Linked DNA regions of Schizosaccharomyces pombe. The gene in region 3 interacts genetically with the main gene of each other region. Each region holds a gene or a part of one and is shown on either strand. Other genes may lie near its edges.

Region 1 (4,780 bases), on a different chromosome or scaffold from region 3:
GAAGAGGCTGTTAAGGAAGGTCAAATCTTTGTTACCACCACTGGTTGCCGTGACATTATTCGTGGTGAGCACTTCAACGAAATGAAGGAGGACTCTATCGTTTGTAACATTGGTCATTTTGATGTCGAGATCGATGTCGCTTGGTTGAAGGCTAACGCTAAGGATGTTGTTAACATCAAGCCCCAGGTTGATCGTTATGAATTGAAGAACGGTCGTCATATCATTCTTTTAGCTGATGGTCGTCTCGTTAACCTTGGTTGTGCCACCGGACATCCCTCTTTTGTTATGTCCTGCTCTTTCACTAACCAGGTCCTTGCCCAAATCGCTTTGTGGACCGATAACACCAGCTATCCTCTTGGTGTTCATATGCTTCCCAAGAAGTTGGATGAGGAGGTTGCCCGTCTTCATTTGGGTAAACTCGGTGTCAAACTTACTACTTTGACTTCTGTTCAATCCGACTACTTGGGTATCCCTGTTGACGGTCCTTACAAGGCTGATCACTATCGTTACTAATCTATTCTTATCATTTAGTTTATAGAATTTATTTTGAAGTTATAATTACTTTAAAAATGTTTCAGCCTCTTTTTTTTGCATGAGTGATGTTTCAACAGCATCTATGTCTCTATGTCGCCATGAAATGCATTAATGTTATTCAACTGGGTTTATGTGGATTTCAGGTCAAACATAATAAATGTTTCTTTCTTTGCATAGAATAGCAATTAACGTGCTTTCATTAAGAAGATTTGATGAATATAACATATGAATTGCTTGACTTGTAAACCAATCTGCGATGTATTTCCGTAAACGAAAAACATATCTTCCCTTGATCAAACAAAGGAAATTAAGTATAAATTCATTAAATTAATGTAGGAATATGCAAACCACCGAATTTGAAAGATAGGTTTAGATGAAGATGAGTTACTGGAAATGAAAGTAAGATGCTAAGACAGTACTAACCTACGATTGTTCATCAACCGTTTCTTCCGAAAGCTGCTTTTTAATGGCTGGAAGTTTTCTCTGTTGATAGTAGTTGCTGGAAGTGTTAGTAAAAATACAAGAGACCAAGATGATAAATAGAATACATACTCGAATATACGCTCGCATGCAGCAGCGTTCTCACAGTCCTGAAGAATAACCAAGAAATCACCTTCTTCGTAATTCAAATCGACCGCAGAGTTGGTGTATGAATTTAAAACTTTAGGAGACACAAGTGCAACATGATCCAAGATAGTGTTATGTGCTTCCAATAAGTGGGATAGCGCAGATCGCTCAGCTTGATCAAAACCGGCGGATTTCAACAAAGGTTCATTCCAAGCATCTAAAAGAAATGGCGCAAAGTTGTTATTTTTAATAAGCAAAGAACGCGTACTAATTCCATTATAATCACTGGTGGTAATTACAAATACATCAGATGGATCCATTTTACGGCGTGTACGGATGTAGTTCTTTAATGGATCGATCGGAGAATTAAGAAGCAAATGCTGCGACAGTTTTTCTGGTTTCAAGACCCTATCCTTGAGAGATTCGGAAGGATTCATTATAACAGCCTTTGCATCGAGCAACCATATCCAGCCAGCGTCGGGATACTCAGCCAAAGTTTCCCTCAAAGCTGGGATAATACTCCAAGTACCATAGACACCATACCTCGCTTGAATATCGCGGGCTTTCTTGTGGACTAGGGTATAGCCATGACGCAAGGCATACTCTGTACGATCAGAAAGCACTTTATCCAGGAAGACAGAGCTGGAGTCAGATCTACTTGAATCATAATGGTCGTCAAAACTAACAATCAACATGACTACGGAATCAGGATCTTGTGGAGATGTTTTCGCCTTAGAAACACCTTTGTATGAAGAGGAATGGGCACTGGGAGAACCAATCGAATTGGAATAAACAGGCATTGAAGACTTTAAAGAATAAAAGCCAAAAAGCAATAAAACGATGGCCAAGAGACCTAAACTTTTTCCTCTACGAGAAAATAAACGAAAGTTGAACATCTTGCAGAATACAAAGTAAAAAAGTGCAAAACAAACAGTTTGCGAGAAAAAATGAGTTGGTTATGCGCGTCTATGGAACAAGATAACGGTTTAAAAGAATAAACCTTAGGGGTTTTTTAAATGTGCAAATAATGTAGAAAAGAAGGTAAGAGAATATCTGTAAATCGAGAAGGTATAAATAGAGAAGAGAAAAAAAGGTATAAAGATCTGGGTCGTAAAGAAAATGGAATATATATGGCCCTTTTTTAAATGCAAATAAATGATCCAACGATATATACGCGAGTATATCCGAAAATTAAAACAGTAAAGATGTTACAGAGGGCGTTTTCACTAAGAAATACGAAAAACCGGATAATGAAAGAAACCTTGCGAGAACACAACGCCTAGCTTTCAAAATGAGCCTTTTTGTCAAGCTATATCGGCGATATTTAAAAAAGAGGAAGATTCTACAATTTAAACAACAATAGATTATAGCTTATCCTGACAACAATCCTTTTACACCGTTTCAAAGACTACGAGTCAAGATGGACTGGTTATTGATATTGAATATGATTTTTACAGAAATCAGGATCCACCCAACCACGTACTAAGAGCAGAGAAACGTTGCTTTTATAATTGGCAGCAACTTGGCTGTATTTGTAGTCTGCGTGTTCGACATTCGAAGGATTTTGATTAACGTGTACGATGCATCCTACCTAACGTACTCTAACGTGTTTTTAGATTTTTTTAGTGATATTGAAATTATACTTTAAACTGTTATAGCGTTATACCCGGTGCTACTCATTATATAGCGAAAATCATAAAAGTAAATAGTAAATAGAGTAAGATTGAAGATGAATTGAATCAGAGTCGATGAACTTCTATTGACTTAAAAAATTATGTATGTAATTAATAAAATATCATCTTGTTTTTTCTACTAACAAATTTTTACAGCGGTTATATACAAGCTTCGGCGTGTATAGTTGGTTTATATAAATTGCAAGCAAAGTGTACACCATTTTTTTTATTATTTCCATATAAAGAAAAAAAAAAAAAAAAAAAAAGGGGATTCTATAGCCCTTTGGTATTTACGAAGACTCATTGATAGTTTAAATCGCACTCATTGAATGGCATTAAACACATTTGTTTGTTTGAATTTTTTTCATTGTTTATGAAGTACAGGATTTTTTTTTTTACCTATCAATAAAAGTATTGATATAAAATATCCCTTTACCTTGATCAATACTTCAAAAAAAATTTAAAATTAGTTTAATTATATTAAATGGACGGTTTTTAGCCTGGTAAATGAAATTCATGCCTTTACTCTTCACCAACTTTTTAAGACGTTAAAATTTTTATAAAAAGCCAAATCCTAATATTCTGTTTCCCAAGACAGCAAAAAGTAAATAAAATACTGCTACTTGGGCCATATTATTACTTCTCATTAATTGCTTACAGAAACTGCTATGGAAAAAGAAAGCGAAATACAAAGCTTACCACCAACGAGACGATATACGATATCTTTAGCATTACCTATTTCAAGTCTAAATGTAGCATACAATTTGCAGCTTAAAACGAGTTTTGTCTGGAAGGTTTGAAAGATTCGTTGTTGTCGCGTATTAACTCAAAATATAGATTTCGAGAATAGTTTCTCTATATGGTATTGACGAAATTATTTTGCTAGAGGACCCTGAATATGTGCAAAACACCCAGGTACATACACTTTCCTCTGATGCTTATTTAAAGGATCCCACAAAATTTCTCACGGACTTATTATGCTATTTCGAAACGCCTTTCTTTATGAGGAAGGAATTGTTTCCACTAAATCCACATCTAAAATATACTAGCTGCTTTCCATTACTTCCCCTCAGAAATGACAAGGCTAGCACAGTGAATATTGAATTCCCATACCGAGAGGGAATCGTTACTCATCCATCTCCGCAAGCAAAGAATAAATATATTATAAATGCTGGACTATCTCACAATGTAATCGTTTCCAGCCCCAGCGTCCTTGCTCCTAGAACAAGGGTCACGGTTCGATTAAAAGCGCAGTCTCCAAACGAAGAAGGCCAGCTTCAAGGTGATATCGTGTCTTTTTCAGCTCCACGAGAAAAAGGTGGTCATTATTGGGGTTACAAGGTGCGGTCATGTCTTTCTTCTCAGCTGTGTAAAAGTTCTCCTTACAAAGGTGGATATGACTTTGTTGTTCAAATCAACAGTCAGACTTCAGCTATTACTTCAAAAGAGTTAGAAGCGAGTTTACCAAGTTCGTTTCGGCATGCTGTTCTTGTTTTACAAGACAATGTCGTACAAAAAGAGCTCGTAGACTCCACTGCCAAAAGTATTTCTTTTAACCCATTCCCAGTTTCTTTTCTAAATGATCCCATTCCTGAAGAGATACTTTTGGCGGCCATGACCCGTTTGTCAGATATGTTGCTGATGCATGGACGACGATAAAGCCTAAATACTTACAAAGGTGAAGCTGTCTTTTTCTTACTTAAATATTATAAAGCTGTCTCGCTAATCAAGGAAAACAAAATCAATTTTGAATATGATAAATTATAAGGATAACTTGGGTATAAAGACGATATTAGAAACTAAGACGAGAATTATTATGATTAAAATTATATCTAAGAGTGTATTGTTGAAATAAAGAATAAAAAAATTTAAAAGATGATTCGAGTCAATGCAAAAAAGGGTAATTCTGTTGAAGACAAACTCCTATCGAGTGTACCTAGATAAGCAGCCATGTTTAAACACTCATAGAAGCAGGGTTTCCTGATCTCTTTTTAATAAGATTCTCC
Region 2 (3,816 bases), on a different chromosome or scaffold from region 3:
ACTTAATTGAAACATTGAATGAACGTTTGTAGTGGATTATGAACATTCAACTCAATGTTTAACAACTAGCGAATGTATAGGTAGCACATTTTTAGGTGGTAAATCACTATATAGTGAACTCTGTCAAAATGCAAAAAAAGTAAATTGAGACGAATTTAAGGACCCATTCATACGGACTATTGGAATAATCACATTAATTTTGGTCACTTGACTTAAAAGATAATGCGACTAGAATTAAAGAGAAAAATCGAATACGCGAAAACTTTTTGATTTGTCTCTTTAATTTGCTTAGATGTCAAATACTGTTAGTACCAACAGATTGACAATGTTTTGATAACAATCATCAACAATTTACTTCAGAACTGTTTTAATAGAGAAAATAATTGTATCCTTCAAATTTCAACGGTTTAACACTGTTTAAGATTTAAAATGTCATTTACTTACAAGTATTTCATGCACTTTGCTTTAAGATCACAGTAACGGTTCTTCGTAGAGATATTTGACGGCTTTCAGTTCGCATTCTATATTAACTTGTGTTTTAAAGTTTTGATTGAGAGAACGTTTATCCCATTTGACGAACATTTAGATAATTGATCAGTTATCTAGACGGGAGAAATGAAAAATATTTAAACTCGTATGAACAATAAATAACACAAATGCAATGCATCCAAAAAAAATTATAAAATCCATTTACAAACCATAACCATATCACATAACACGAAAACGAGTAGAATTTTAATCCAATTCAATACTCAGAAACTTAGAGGTTTTTTAATTGTCTAAAAATCCAAAGATTTAACAGGCTGTTTTTGAGGATTCGTGTTTGAAATCTTCGTATCCTTTTGCTCATCATCCAGTGGAGGAAGGACCCATGGTTCAATGGTAAATCTTCTTTTCGATACAGTAAATGAGAGGTCTCCAGCTTCATTAGAGTTTGCATGATTGGTAAATGGAAGTGCTAAGGGAAGCTTATGGATACGGAAAAGTCCTAATGGTTGTGTAACTAAACCGTTAACAGTTTCTTTGACCGGGAAAGGATGCAAAGAGAATACGGCGGATGCAAGGTTTTCTAGCCAAAAAATTTGCTCGCAATCTCTTGAAAACAAAGTAGAAGGAACTGAACACATACATATCAAGTGCACCGAAGTAGTGCATTTGATGAGCGATGAAAGTGTGTGAATAAATCTTATGAAATGCTGCGGATGAGTAGCACGGATAGAATAGAAGGCTGGGGACAAAATGGATGGAAGAACTAACCTGCATACCGTACCTGGAGTCAGAGTAGATAAGAATCTCGTTAGACTTTCAATGACAGGGGCGTAAGGATTAGACCCTGTTTCCAAAGGGAATGGAGAAACAGCGTATTTCATATCGCTTTTCACTATCAAATTCTTTGACAAATCAAAGGAGTGAGTATAGCCAGGAGGAATCATATCAAGGGTCGGTGCCTTGGTTTTGGAGACTTGTTCATACCTCCAGGCAATTTTCATTCTTTCTTGCTGGGGATTTTTAGAGGGAGGAGAAGAATGATTATCCTCTCCAGCTGAATTTTCGTTTTTATTAGGCCGGTCGCTGTCGCCTGGAAGTTGACGAAACCACATCTCTCCAATAGATGGACCAAGCCAAATAACATGGTCCTGTTTAAGGCCTTCCGCTGCAAAAAATTTAAGTAGCACAGAAGCATAATCCATCGAATCTTCCTCTATAACCAGCAAACTTTTCATTGGAATGCCGCCAGACAAATAGTAGTCAAAAGAAGAACTCCCAGAGCTTGTAATCCATCTAGCATCCTTTGAAGATAGTCTAACGCCTGTCGGCAAGTTTGTTGGTGCTATTTGAGGTGCTGCTTTCCTTTTGAACGACATCAATACTTATTTCGATTGGTGTACGTGGAATAGCAAATTGGATGGAAAGGTTAACGCGACGCAAATTTGCAGCACACATTTAAGCATCATCAGTCAGAAAACAAAGAAATTCAGCGTTGCGATTGAGAAAATAAAAAATTGTTGACTAAAGTTAATCATTCAATAAAAATACCTTTTAGATAAATTTTGTTGAACTAATAATAAAATTTCACTAGTGGGCGCATTGAAACAAAAATAATATTGTAATACTACAAAATAACATAGAAAATGTTACGTCGTACAGTCAATTAGCATGATCGGAAAATGTATTACTGTTGTATTTTTGAAGATTACTTTCAATCCGAATCTAGTTGGACAAGACTTATGAGAAATTTAAGTCAACTCAAAGTACAATCTATTCATATTTTATTTTTAAGATCAGGAGAATCTGATTGCTAAAGATACAATTTAATTAGCTCTTCGCTTACCCCACTCTTCGAATCAATGATCCCTAAATCGGTAATGAGACCTGAGACAAATTCGGGTGGTGTAACATCCAAAGTAGGATTATTTCGAATTTGTTCTTCATTCATGATCAGCTCGTTATGAATAGCATCTGATGGAGTTGGAATTGGTTCAGGTTCAGGATGAACAGTTTCAGGAGATGGATCATCAAATTCCAGAATAGGACGACTAAAGGGAATATCATATTGAGAAAGGGGAAACATACGCACGAATTTATGACTAAAAAACGTTAGTACAAATTTTAAAATTAACAGGGAAATGGAGAGATCATAGGGAAAAATAATTGTAAGCTGAATGGATTCAACGTTTACGTACCTTTCTGCAACTGCGTAAAAGGGCTTATGTGCATGTTTGGCAAAAACGGCAAGTTGGAAAGTACCGATTTGATTAATGAGTCCTCCGTTTTCGACAACACCTTCTGCGCCAACCAAGACCAAATCTACACGGTTCATAGTAAAGCTTACAGCGGAATCCAAAACCATGCAAGTAGGAATACAAGCATTTTTTAATGTTCTCGTCATTAGACAGCCTGAGCCGCTAGGTCTTGATTCTGTGACAAAAACTTTGAAACGAACGTGACGCTTGGCAGCAGCCAAAAGAACAGCCGCAACACCGCGTGAAAACCCATGGGTAAGAATAACACTACCATCTCGAATAAGAGGGTAACCTAAATGTGCAATTCTTTGTCGACAAGCACGAGCACGCTGAATAAAGAGTTTTCCATTTTCTACCAAGTGACGTTTGCATTGCTCAAAATCCTAAAGCCGTGGAGAATTAGTAAAGAAAAGAAAACTACTTTGCATCAACACATACCCCGACATCGTGTAGTGATCGAGTGACAAACCGTTGGAAAATGTCACAACCAGCTGAAAGCGAAATGTTGTTTTGAACGCCTTCCTTCAGCGTATTTGAGCCATTTTGTAAAATGTCCATAAATTCTGAAATTGTCTTGGCTAATAGAAAAACATCAGTAAATTCATTTCTCACATGAGTACTACAAATTAACATACCTTGAGAGCGCGACAAAAGCTGGACTAAAGCCTCAATGGCGGCTACAGGCATCGTGATTTCTGGATCATCTTGCAAAAATTTTTTGTAAACCTGGACGATGTCAAATTCTCCTTGAGAATGTCGAACGATTCCCGAAGAATCCGATTCCACCATATTCGCAGATGCTAGACGCTCTTGCTTAGTAGCAACATCTTTTCCATACTTTAAGGATATCCAACAAAATCAAATAACGGGCAATGCCTTTTTGTATTAAATTGTAAGCTACGCAATTTGGTATCTGATTTAAGGATACGTAGAACTGCGGTGAGTTTTCCTTGTGATCTATTATATTACAATACACAGGTTGTATAAGTAGCAACTGAGTATAGGTATTGTATTAACTGAGTTATAATGTTACCTATCACTAATATAGCTCATAACTGAACTGAGGAACGAG
Region 3 (4,641 bases):
ACTCGAAGAAAAACATCTGGCCTTTGCGTTTCACCTCTAAATCACTAGACGTCTCATACGAAATATCCAGCTTTAAAAATTTAGGGAAACTAGATGTGTTTCCGAACTCCGTAAACGTAGCTTTCTCAATTATCAAGTCAGCAAACCTAGTACTATTTGTAAAGTAACCAGTACGATCAGTACCATAGCGAAGAAATCTCGTAAGCTTTTTACCTATTTCAGTCAAGTTTGAATATTCAAACCCAAACAAAGGAGACAATCGATATGCGGTGTATGTTACATTATAAAAATGGTGATCCCTTAAAGTCATAGTCAGCCTGAGCTAACACTTCAAAACGCTCTAATGATTTTGTTTCTGCTAGCGATTTTTGGGATCATTAATTAAAGTACTTAAAAAAACGTTATGAGTTATTAACTACATTGACCTTCATCAAATTAATGAAATATGTAGAGGTTGCTACCTTTTTTACTAATCGCTATGTATCATTATATAAGTCACCGTTCAAATAATAATAAAGAAACTTGAGTATCAACATTTTTTACAATTAAAGATACTGGTGGCATATATGTAAATATAAATTTCATTTATTTACTAATACTTACAAAGAAAGAGAAGCTCATAATGATCCTTCAAATATTTCAAATTGGCCAAGTAACTTTGTTCTAATACCCCGCTAAATTTATCGTTCGAAATAAACATTTTGTACAGTGGTAAATAGTATTCAAGCAAGTAAACGTATTTAGCATCAAACCGATCTTTGTATTGAATGACTTACAACAAATCTCATATTTACTATTCTATAACACCGAGAAGGTATCAATTGCAACAGTGTTTTTCGTTTAACCGAACAAAAATTATGCAAAAACTAAAGTCTAAAAACGACGTCGCAAGCAAATCTCTTCTAATAATATATGCATCAAAATTTTTTCGACTCTTTCAACTGAAATCTAGCTGTCTAAATACCCCCACTGACTGGAAAATAGATATTTTTCGATAGATTGAAAAATACACTGGCAATAAAAGAAGCAAACTCCCACTTTAACGGGTTGAATAGAGATAAGCCGGCTGTTTCAATTTGTTTGTTCAAGCAAAATGTCAATTAGTGAACCTCCTAAAAAAGAAAATTTCGATAAAAATTAACGACTCCATATGGTAGAATAATCAAGGAAAGATATACAGCCCAATATTGGACTTTAAGTAGTAATTAAATAACAAAGAAGGAGATAGCAGTAGAACTGCGGTGTCATACAAATAAATATCAGCTAGTAAGGAGACTATTTAAAAAACTTCCTTTTACTCTTCTCATTTTCGGCCGCAGCTTTAGCTTGCATTAACCGATTTTTGTGATCAATTAAGTCAGCTTTTTGCTTCTCCAATGCTGCCTTCATTTCGCGATGACGGGTACGTAACTCGTTTTCAGATTGTTTAAGACGATCTTCTTTTTCTTGAACCTTCTGAGAAAAAATGGTTTTCATTTCTGCTTCCATTTTCATCAATTTCTCTTCGTGTAAGGCACGCTCCTCTTCGAGTTTAGCACTAGGGTTGACTTCACGAAAAACGGAGTGATCTTGTGATATTCCGCTGCTAAGCAACCGTTCAGTACGATACGCTTCATACAGCTTATTTGTCTGTTCTTTGAGTTCTTCTAAGTGTGTTCGAATAAGCATTTCACGAAGCTTAGGGAAATCAGAATGCTCTTCATTATCGACTTCAACAACGCCCCATGGGTACCGCCTCCCGCGGACGCGCTTTCCTTCATTGTTGACCACGAATGTATTAGAAGCAATTATAGCAAAAGGTATTCTACTCATGATGTCTGCATTTTCTGCCACTGATTCAGGATCATCGGTCTCATATGTCGGAGGGAAGAAAATTCTGATATTGTGGTATTGGATATCTCTCAAAATCTATCATTTTTTCATTAGCAACTTTAAATCAAGATTAGGGCTTACCATTTCCTTCGTAAAGTTAAGTTCATCATCCGTTAGTGTATCGGCTTTCGCAATGATGGGTATAATATTTACTTTCTCGTGCAAAGCCAACATAACTCGAAGCTCCATAGCACTTATAGCATGACCAGTAGGCTGAATAAAAAATATACAAGCATGAACTCTTGGATCTTGAATAGTAGATCGAGGATTGTGCTTTTCAAGCTCAAGATATTGATCATAGCGACCCTCGATATCTGTCAAAACTGGTTGCCAACAATCGGTGTTGTCAATAAAATCGCCAAAACCGGGTGTATCAATTACATTTAATTGAAGACTGATACCATTTTCCACTATTTCAACTGCAGAAGAGTTGATCATAACAGTGGGTTCTGGGTTCACTCCAAAATCCCCAGTTAAAGATTTCTGGGTCGGTGGGTAAACATCTCTATTCAATAGCGTATTCACAAGTGTAGATTTCCCTGAACCGCTTTCCCCTAATACTAATACGTTGAAATTAAAACCTTGACGAACACAACGACGATGCCATTGATTAGGAAGACTAGCGAATCCAACGTATCCGTTCAACTGACGCTGGATTATACTAACGTGCGGATTGAACTAAATATTAGTAAAGGAATTTTAAATAATTGATTACCTCTTGTTCAGAATTATCCTGAATGGGTTTTTCTTCATTCTTGTTTTCTGAAATGGCTGCCTCAACATTTATTTGCGTTACATTATCTGTAGATGTGAAAGAATCAACGTCGGAACCCCTGCTTCTAGTGGAATCATCTTTAACTGTAGGCATACCATCCGCGAGTACCATTGACGCCATGTCAGAAATTATCGAAAACCCCCGTGTTGGTGGTTATGTATGTGATGAAGAGTGTAGCTAGGAGCTCGAGCATGAACATCTATTTGCTCAAGTAGGAAATTAAACTTAACCAATTTTTTTCTTAATTATGTTTCACGAAATTATAGAGCTTTTTTGAAATTTCTTAATTCACTGTCGCGTCGAATTTAGGTCCTTAACCTCGAAATATACACGGCTGGGATGCATTAAATAAAAAGATACTAAACATTGTTATTCCATTGTTTTAGTTGTCTTGTTAATTTTACAATTATTTTTTTTAACAATTGGATAAATCTAATGAATTAAAATTATCCATTATCTGTATTTGTTTAAAAACATTTTTTGACCTTTTATTTATACCTAAATTATTTGTTTGAATACCCTTTCAGCATGCAATCATCTAAATCTTTTGAATTTAATTTAAAATATTTATTTTTCTATTAATATAGAACCTTGGGCAGTAGTCGTTGAATTGAGCATTAATGCAAATCCAATTTATTGCACAACTGATTATTTATTCAATTGAACTTGTACGTCGACAATGTGACCCTCAACGATTTTAAAGATTTAATTATTAGACATAAAACACAGTTAGAAATTATTGCCTGGCCAACATTTTCATGCTAATAGATGATTCAGAAACAAATATCTATATTTCTTTTCCTACGAAAAAGTAAGATCAAACTAAAACATTAGAAGCTTGTTTACCGTATATTTTTGATCTTAAAGGACTTTTAAGATAAATTTGAACTTATTATAAATAATAAAATGTTAAAAAAAAATTTAACATAATAGGATCATTTTTACTAATTAAATAACGATTATATTAGTCTTTATAACAGCGTTTACAGTCTCCGAATTGCAGTATAAGCTCTAAAACTCAATTGAATAAAGGCATTTAATAGTCAATCATTGTTTTGTTTTCCTTCTAGCTATTTCAGCTCTTCTTGCTATCAAAGCACGGAATGACTTAACGCGGTGTTGTGTGGCTGGTATCAGAGAAAGAATAACTCCAGTAAAGGTACGCAAGCAATCCCAGTATGTCGTCGTTAAAACTATGAATATAATATGTCAAAAATTAATGTGAAAAGACGTTAATCAACACAATATAGAAGTACGTGTCTTATATTAAGAAATCGAAATATCTATAATTGAATTTAATAACGAAATCTTGCGTGACTACGCTATTAATTCTAGTTGTTATGAATACAGATGGGATCAAGGTAACTGGTATTCACCTCCTTTTCGACGTAACCAGAGCCACACATTATACTGGACAAAGGCGTTCTCTGGCGGCGGAATCGAACCAATATATAAGAAAACACTCAAATTCTGGGTTTATTGGAGGAAATTTTTTATTTTAAAAACAGTTTCTTTTACTCGAAAAAGCGTTTTTAATACTTCTTTCTTTGGCTTTGTTTTTACTCGATAGGGGCAAAACCTGTACAAGCTTGATTCGTGAACGTACGACATAATCCTTTGTTTGTATTAATGCTTAAATTATCTTAAGTATTTATTAACGGGGTATTCACTAGTTGAAATACATTTATATATATAAGGTGTTACTTTCGCGACTACAGCTGTTAGCCGTTGCTTTTTTAAGGAATTCGCATAATTATTTAAGAACTCGATTCTGTTTAGACCCACAAAACAACATCCAGATTCGGGTTGATTTTAATTTTTAACTCTCTATTTTTATTACTCTTATTAAATTGTGCCCTTCCATTTTTATTTATAAACTTTAAGATGCGCGTGTACAATAAATCTAGAATTGTAGGGCAGCTCCTTTTTGTGGCCCTCGGTATTACTTTCATCTATTACCTATTTACTCCATCTGTCAATTCAAATGCCAAAGT

What was found. A genetic interaction does not mean that the proteins touch.
Region 1: mutations in spn1 (region 3) and gmh4 together harm fitness less than expected from each alone (positive genetic interaction), as found in Schizosaccharomyces pombe (one large-scale study listed by BioGRID).
Region 2: mutations in spn1 (region 3) and elp4 together harm fitness more than expected from each alone (negative genetic interaction), as found in Schizosaccharomyces pombe (one large-scale study listed by BioGRID).

The regions. Positions count from the first base shown.
Region 1 is NC_003423.3:1,387,400-1,392,179, reverse strand, and holds gmh4 (alpha-1,2-galactosyltransferase Gmh4), read right to left. Parts: upstream 2,645-4,780; 5' UTR 1,998-2,644; coding exon 1,087-1,997; intron 1,034-1,086; coding exon 958-1,033; 3' UTR 514-957; downstream 1-513. Other genes in the region: SPOM_SPBC8D2.18C (adenosylhomocysteinase), read left to right, coding at 1-513; SPOM_SPBC8D2.16C (uncharacterized protein), read left to right, coding at 3,443-3,568, 3,612-4,433; lipoic acid synthetase Lip5, read right to left, coding at 4,729-4,780.
Region 2 is NC_003421.2:1,462,474-1,466,289, forward strand, and holds elp4 (elongator complex subunit Elp4), read right to left. Parts: upstream 1,918-3,816; 5' UTR 1,866-1,917; coding exon 780-1,865; 3' UTR 513-779; downstream 1-512. Other genes in the region: translation initiation factor eIF2B alpha subunit Gcn3, read right to left, coding at 2,300-2,588, 2,685-3,127, 3,183-3,322, 3,380-3,533. UniProt on the Schizosaccharomyces pombe protein: Component of the elongator complex, a multiprotein complex which is required for multiple tRNA modifications, including mcm5U (5-methoxycarbonylmethyl uridine), mcm5s2U (5-methoxycarbonylmethyl-2-thiouridine), and ncm5U (5-carbamoylmethyl uridine).
Region 3 is NC_003424.3:4,851,212-4,855,852, reverse strand, and holds spn1 (mitotic septin Spn1), read right to left. Parts: upstream 2,814-4,641; 5' UTR 2,768-2,813; coding exon 2,588-2,767; exon of another isoform or gene 2,551-2,587; coding exon 1,954-2,550; intron 1,909-1,953; coding exon 1,276-1,908; 3' UTR 654-1,275; downstream 1-653. Other genes in the region: kinetochore protein fta1, read right to left, coding at 1-310; mannan polymerase complex subunit Mnn9, read left to right, coding at 4,532-4,641. UniProt on the Schizosaccharomyces pombe protein: Plays a role in the cell cycle. Involved in a late stage of septum formation leading to the separation of the daughter cells.